Neurospora crassa OR74A: one gene and its partner. The protein of the gene in region 1 purifies or fractionates together with the protein of each later gene. This does not show direct contact. Links are inferred from orthologs where the notes say so. Each region holds a gene or a part of one and is shown on either strand. Other genes may lie near its edges.

Region 1 (3,750 bases):
CACCATGTCTGCCATGGAGTTTTGCTGTCACATTTTGTCACATAGGTATGCAATCGCTTCAAATCCATGTTCATCATCAACAACAGTAGGCATGATACCTATTCATTCCGCCCGTATGTTCATTTCGCTTGTCAGGAGAGCCTACTGCATTGTGCCTACTGTGTGGGATCTGGCGGTCCAAACTCTCCCAAGTCCCAGCTATGAGTGCCATCTCGAGCCGCTCTTGATTCATCATCTATTACACATCTAGACTTCCGGTTTCAACACAAACCAAAAACCCCAAACTCCCCATTCCGCTATTGATGCGCTTCTTCCTCCCCGTTTAGTTGTACTGGGCATAGGCCGCAGTAGAGTTGAACTTGAGGTTGCCCTTGATGACCTTGTCCACCGCACTCAAAAAGTCCTTCTCCGACGCCACCTTCCTGCGCGCACGGATGGCGAACATGCCCGCCTCCGTGCAAACACTACGCAACTCAGCACCCGTCGCGTTCGGGCACAGGCGAGAAATGAGCTCCCATCGGATATCGCGCTCGACTGACATGCTCTTGGCATGAATGCGCAGAATGTTGGCACGACCCTCGAGATCGGGGAGAGAGAACTCAATTTTGCGGTCGATACGTCCGGGACGCATCAGGGCGGGATCCAGCGTGGAAGGACGGTTAGTAGCGAACATAACCTTAATGTTGCCACGGGCATCGAAACCATCCAGCTGCGTAATGAGCTCCAACATAGTACGCTGAACTTCATTATCACCACCCGCGCCGTCATCGAACCGGGCTCCACCAATAGCATCAATTTCGTCAAAGAAGATGATGCAAGCCTTCTTAGTACGGGCCATCTCGAAAAGCTCGCGGACCATGCGGGCACCCTCACCGACGTACTTTTGAACCAGCTCGGAACCAATGACACGGATAAAGGTGGCGTCTGTCCTGTTGGCAACGGCACGGGCGCAAAGCGTCTTACCGGTGCCGGGAGGTCCGTATAGCAGGGCGCCCTTGGGGGGATCGATACCGAGGTTGACGAACCGCTCTGGCGACAAGAGGGGCATCTCCACGACCTCGCGTAGCTTCTCGACCTGTTCCTTGCAACCACCGACATCGCCGTATGTGACGTCAGGCTTTTCCTCGACCGTCATCATGGTAACGCTCGCATCGATCTTGGGAGGTAGCGGAAGGAGAATCTGATACTTGTTTCTGTCGACGCCGACGCGCATTCCTTCCTCGATATCTGTCGGGCTGACTCGCTCGCCCAGCTGGACAACAAACTTGGCGATCTGCTTGACGTTGATGACGTACTTGCTCTTCGATTCGTCCTTCTCGTCAGGGATGATCTTGGTGCACCGCGCTACCTGAAGCGGTTGCTCTTCTGACATACGCTGACGGTCGGCTGCCACATCCCAAAGGTGAGGGGGCGCAAGGCCGGTATCTGATTCCTGTAGACCAAAAAGTATCACTGGTCAGCTAGATGCGCTTCGCGGTTTGTAGGGTAGCCACCGCAAGACTAGCATACCTTGACGCCAATCTTCTCATCCACGCTCTGCTGCTTCTCCTTTATTTGCTGTTCTAGCTTCTTGATGGCAGCACCGTAGGGCGCGGCGCCGTATGTCTTGAGGACCTGAATATCCCTTGACGGGGGTTAGACGACTTGTCCGTTGCGGTGGTAGTGGTGGGCGGGCTCTCTTGGGCGGCAACATACTCGTCTGAGAGGGGAGTGATCTTCTTCTCCTCGACTTCATCGTCGCCAAACGTTTTCCTGTACTTCTCCCAGTTTTGACCTGTGGCAGAAGGCTATTCCCGGTGTCAGTCGTGCAAAGTGGCGTTGCACCTTTGGGTAGGGCGACTGCAAGCATACCATGATGACGGCGGGTGGGAATGACGCTTCCCGTTTGGACTAGGTAAGGCGAAGAAGGGTGGGTAATCGAAAGGATCGGGTCGGTAATTAAAGTCGCGATGGCTCCGGGCGAGAGATTCCTTGTTTGGCGTGGGTCGTTCGTGGGGTTGTAGAGATCTCGGCGCGGGTTTGATGTGGTGTGTCGGGTTCAAGTTGGTTTGATGGGTGTTCAGTGCTTGCTTGATGTGATGGATGGATGGATGGAGATGGTTCGTCAAGGTCCAACTGCCACCACTCACTGACAGAGGGTCGAAGCTCAATCGTTGCCGTAATCCATGCGCTGCCTTGCGGGCGAGGGAGCTACGGGTGGGTGCCACCTTGACAGCACCTACCTAACCCTATCCGGTTAGACTGTGTAAAGTTACAGCGCCGCAGGTACCTTTTCCACCGCCCACCGCTCAGCAAAAAGCAGCCGACAAAAAATTACCACCTGCCAGCCCACCTTTGCGCCCGCGCCAGCACTCACTTTACGGTCCCGCAGTGGAAACATTGGTACGGAGGGGACGGTGTGTGTGTGTGTTTTTGGCCCATTGATTCCAGACCAGCAAAGAAGGAGAAGAGGAGAGCTCTGCCTTACAACACAACAACTGCACTGCACCCAGCGCAAGCCGATTCCCCAAAACTGTCAACTCGAATTTCCGGCAGTTTCTGATCCCCCCATCCGACCTCCCGTCTACTATCTCCCATAATCCCAAATACCAGATCAAACAAGCTTGCACCATGGCGACCGCACCGGCAGCTACCCAGACGGCGAGCAATGCGACTTTCAGGGTGCGTCCCGCTTTTTGGAACCTGACCCCTCGATAGGAGTCGGTGCGAAAGCTCCAGGAGGAGGGGTGAAGCTCTGTGGCAAGCCAGTTGCTGATAGCCCACCATGTAAACAGGACAAGGAGAAGCCCATCGCCGTTCGCTCATCCAACATTGTCGCCGCCAGAGGTATGCCTACAACATTTTGTCATTCCGTCTTGTGTCGTTGTTGTCTGGGGTGCTGACACAGAGACATGCACCAGCCGTCGCCGATGCCGTCAGAACGTCGCTGGGACCGCGGGGTATGGACAAGATGATCATGACTGGAAAGGGGGAGACCATCATCACCAACGACGGCAGCACAATGTTGAAGAGCATGTCGGTCATGCACCCCACAGCCAAGATGCTCGTCCAGCTGTCGCACGCCCAAGATGTCGAGGCCGGTGATGGCACAACCTCGGTCGTCGTCCTTTGCGGTAGCTTGCTCGGTGCCGCCGACAGGCTACTAGGCAAGGGCATCCACCCCTCAGTCATCTCCGAAGCTTTCCAAAGAGCCGCCGCCGCTGCCGTAGACGTCCTCCACGACATGTCGCAACCCATCTCCCTCACAGATACCGCCTCGCTCCTCCAGGCCGCCAACACTTCGCTCTCCTCCAAGATCGTGTCACAATACTCCAACCTCCTCGGCCCCATGGCCGTCAACGCAGTCACCAAGACGATAGATCTCAAGACCGCCGAGAATGTCGACCTCAAGAACATCCGCATAATCAAGAAGGTCGGCGGTACGATCGAGGACAGCGAGCTGGTTGATGGTCTCGTCCTTACACAGCCCGTCATCAAGAGCGCTGGTGGTCCCGTCAGGATGGAGAAGGCCAGGATCGGTCTTATTCAGTTCCAGCTCAGCCCTCCCAAGCCTGATGTGCGTATACCTTTCTGGCGACCATAACCTACCCACCTTGCCTGCTGGCCCTAAATCGCCCAAACACTACCCTTTTCGTGCTTTTACTAACAACTCACTCTTACAGATGGAAAACACCATCTCCGTAAACGACTACCGCCAGATGGACAAGATCGTCAAGGAAGAGCGCACCTACCTCCTCAACATGGTCAAGA
Region 2 (3,291 bases), on another chromosome or scaffold:
GTAGCTGGATCCTTGCGCGTACGTGGGCCTCGACTGTGTGGACATGACTCTTGTTGTGGGGAAAAGCTCACAATCATGACCACCTTGCCCAAATCACCCGTAACTTTCAGATGGCGCTTGTTGTACTCGTCGCGGAAGGGAATGACGACAGTGCATCCTTGTCTCGCTGCAAATGTTCTTGATATAAGCCATGGTGATCTCTATAGAGGCCTACGCCACAAAGTCGCCAGATCGTACCTAGTCTGTTGACGATGTAGCGGCCGAGTTGGCCGGTCGCACCGAAGACTGTCGCCGTATGTCCACCGAGGGAGGAGCTGTGGAGGTAGACGACGTGTTAGCAATCGCCCATTCTACCCAAGCAGAGATATAGCAACAATTACCGGCCACCCTGGTTACGGATGATGGGCTTGCCGGTGCGGGTGATGGTCACGTCGGAGATAGCTCGTCGCTGAAAGCCAAAGGCATTGGAAACGATAATTCTGGGAGTCGACCGCATCGCGGCCGTCAAGGGAGCCATCTTGTGAGTTGGGGGGTGGCAGGGCTGGCCGGATCCCGTTCAATTGGTGATGGAATCAGAGGCTATCCGGAGCTTCAAGCTGCCGTCTTCAATATCGAATCCGGGACGTCGAAGCCGGCTCTCGCTGCCCGCCTGCTGCCCGCCTGCCGTCAGCACCCCCCCCCCCCCTTCAATGTACCCAGCGACCAAACTGCTGACGGGAATCACGTGTGCCAAGCTTCCTCACTTACACTCAACGGCAGTACGTACCTCTGCCAGATAGACATGTACCTTTTGGGCTCCCGCCTCCAGTACGTACCTTAGCTTCACCCAGCTTCCACTTGGCAGTGACTGTGGGGGCCTCCACAGTGCTGGGAGAGCATCCACAATGACCGACCGTAGCTGGCTGCACGCCTAATGCCGCGTCAAGGCTTCACTGCAAGACGTCAACCAAGACAACCTCAAAACAACACTTCCACTTTCATCCCGTCCTCCATTGTAGACGTACCACTGCATTGTTCCGCCGGGATTTTCTACAACGAGCAACATCCCACGATAAGTACGCTGGTTTCCATCCGCAGCAGACTCACCGACGTTTCCACCAAAGAGACCGGATCCTCGAGAATCTGCCTACCTCCCCAAGGACTGGACAGCAAGGATCGATAGAAGACTCAGACACACACACCCACACCCACACCCACACCCACACCCACACCCACACCTAGACACAACACCACAGCCATGAACGTCGACACCATCTCCGACTTCCTCGCCGAGCAGCGCGACCAGGCGCCCGAAGAACTCCAACCCCTCGTCCTTGAGTTCGAGACACTATGGGAGCGCAAGCTGTGGCATCAGCTCACCAACCTGCTGCTTGAGTTCTTCAACCACCCCGGCAGTGCCCCGCAGAGGCTACAGTTCTACAAGGTCTTCATTCTCAAGTTCGCCGACAAGATCAACCAGCTCAAGCTCGTTGATCTTGCTCTCAAGGCCGCCACACAATGTAGAGGTGCGCAGACGGTCTTCATTTCCTCTGCTTCCAAACATGCATCTGGCAGCTAGCACTAACCACGCCTGGGTGCGCAAACCGTAGACAACCAAGAGCGCCTCTCCTTTTTGGAAGCCGTCGTCAAGAAGGTCGACCACGAAGACTCTCAAGACGCCTATGTATTCGCCACGATCGCCGTTGCCCGCGTGAAGCTCGACCTCTCCGACCTTGACGGCGCGCGCAAGGACCTGGACACGGCCGAGCGAATCCTCGACAACTTCGACTCGGTGGAGTCGGTCGTGCACGCCGCCTTCTACGACACCAACGCCAAATACTTCCAAGCCAAGTCCGACTGGGGCTCCTACTACAAGAACGCGCTGCTGTACCTCGCCTGCATCGACGTCAAGTCACTTTCACTCGAGGAGCAGCGCCAGCGCGCCTACAACCTGGCCATCGCGGCCCTCGTCAGCTCGAGCATCTACAACTTTGGCGAGCTTCTGCTGCACCCCATCCTCGACGCCCTCACCATCGACGACCGGCACAAGTGGCTGCACCAGCTCCTCTTTGCCTTCAACCGCGGCGACCTTGCCGCATACGACCTACTGGCCAGCCACATCAGCTCGGACCCGCTGCTGGCGCAGCACACGCGCCAGCTGCGCGAGAAGATCTATCTGGCGGCGCTGACCGAGGCCGTGTTTCGCCGCCCGCCCCATGACCGCGCCATGTCTTTCTCCACCATTGCGAACGAGACCAAGGTACACCCCGACGAGATCGAGCACCTGATCATGAAGGCGCTGAGCTTGGATCTACTGCGGGGCACGATCGACCAGGTTGACGAGGTGGCCCACATCAACTGGGTGCAGCCCAAGGTGTTGGACATGCAGCAGATCAAGAACATGAGGCAACGGCTGCAAGAGTGGGATTCCAGTGTTGACAAGCTGGGTAACTGGATCGAGGGTGTGGGCCAGGATGTTTGGGCTTAAAGGGTGGACGAATCTACGGACGGTGTGAGGAGATGGGAACAATTCGGGCGTTCAAACGGATGGCATCAAACCTGGAGATACAGGAGTAAACCTAATGCTTAGATCAGGGAACAAGGCCAGCTAAAGGCATGATGTTATTCCGCTGCATGAGGCAGACCGACTTTGCATGATACATATGAATACCCATAACGCATGACAACGCCCACGGCGTACGTCCTCCATTCTCTAAAAATCCAGGCCCATGCTTTGGCCTGAGTTATGTCTATGTGAATCCTCTCCATGTACGCTCCATGAACAAAGGCAAATCCAAAATACGCCGGCAAAATATGCTTCCTTGAACGCCGCAAAAAGATCAAGTAGTGTACAAAACGTAAATGAGCCATCTGGCACGTGTTTACTGGAAACAACATCATACACAGGAAAAAAATATTTGCTGCTTACTTGCCCCTACTCGTACACCGTTTATCCGAGCTCAAGACAGGGACCGAACAATGTAAAAGAGAAGATAGGCCTTTGCGTTTAGCACATCAGACTTCTGGGCCAGTTCAACTTTGTGATCGTTAAATGCGAACCACTTAAATAAATGTGCCAAAGGCAGCGGGTCAGCAAGTCTAACCCTTCAGGAACTAGATGTGTGTCATGGTTCACTAGTCAGACTCACCTGGTCGCCAACCCGGCAATAAGAAATGTAGTGTCCGGTATCCATGTCGCCAACGTGCACAACAACGCATAGAAGATCGTAAGTGCAGGACCGCTGTAGCTCGTAGTTATCTTTGAGATCCTGTGTTCGTGCGCGTGTCGTATAAGGCAGCATGTTGAGTTGT

The links.
Region 2: the proteins of rpt-1 (region 1) and rpn-9 purify together in Saccharomyces cerevisiae (affinity purification with mass spectrometry; 6 studies listed by BioGRID, with this or other methods). This does not show direct contact. The link is inferred for Neurospora crassa OR74A from reciprocal best matches to the Saccharomyces cerevisiae genes RPT1 and RPN9.

The regions. Positions count from the first base shown.
Region 1 is NC_026501.1:8,944,738-8,948,487, forward strand, and holds rpt-1 (26S protease regulatory subunit 7), read right to left. Parts: upstream 2,422-3,750; 5' UTR 1,855-2,421; coding exon 1,852-1,854; intron 1,788-1,851; coding exon 1,696-1,787; intron 1,625-1,695; coding exon 1,510-1,624; intron 1,433-1,509; coding exon 323-1,432; 3' UTR 65-322; downstream 1-64. Other genes in the region: NCU02839 (T-complex protein 1), read left to right, coding at 2,611-2,661, 2,775-2,826, 2,901-3,556, 3,663-3,750. UniProt on the Saccharomyces cerevisiae protein: The 26S proteasome is involved in the ATP-dependent degradation of ubiquitinated proteins. The regulatory (or ATPase) complex confers ATP dependency and substrate specificity to the 26S complex.
Region 2 is NC_026507.1:2,715,889-2,719,179, reverse strand, and holds rpn-9 (proteasome regulatory particle subunit), read left to right. Parts: upstream 1-862; 5' UTR 863-1,237; coding exon 1,238-1,505; intron 1,506-1,589; coding exon 1,590-2,467; 3' UTR 2,468-2,716; downstream 2,717-3,291. Other genes in the region: nuo40 (NADH-ubiquinone oxidoreductase 40 kDa subunit), read right to left, coding at 72-166, 238-314, 381-517; NCU02375 (ubiquitin carboxyl-terminal hydrolase 2), read right to left, coding at 2,940-3,041, 3,129-3,291. UniProt on the Saccharomyces cerevisiae protein: Acts as a regulatory subunit of the 26S proteasome which is involved in the ATP-dependent degradation of ubiquitinated proteins.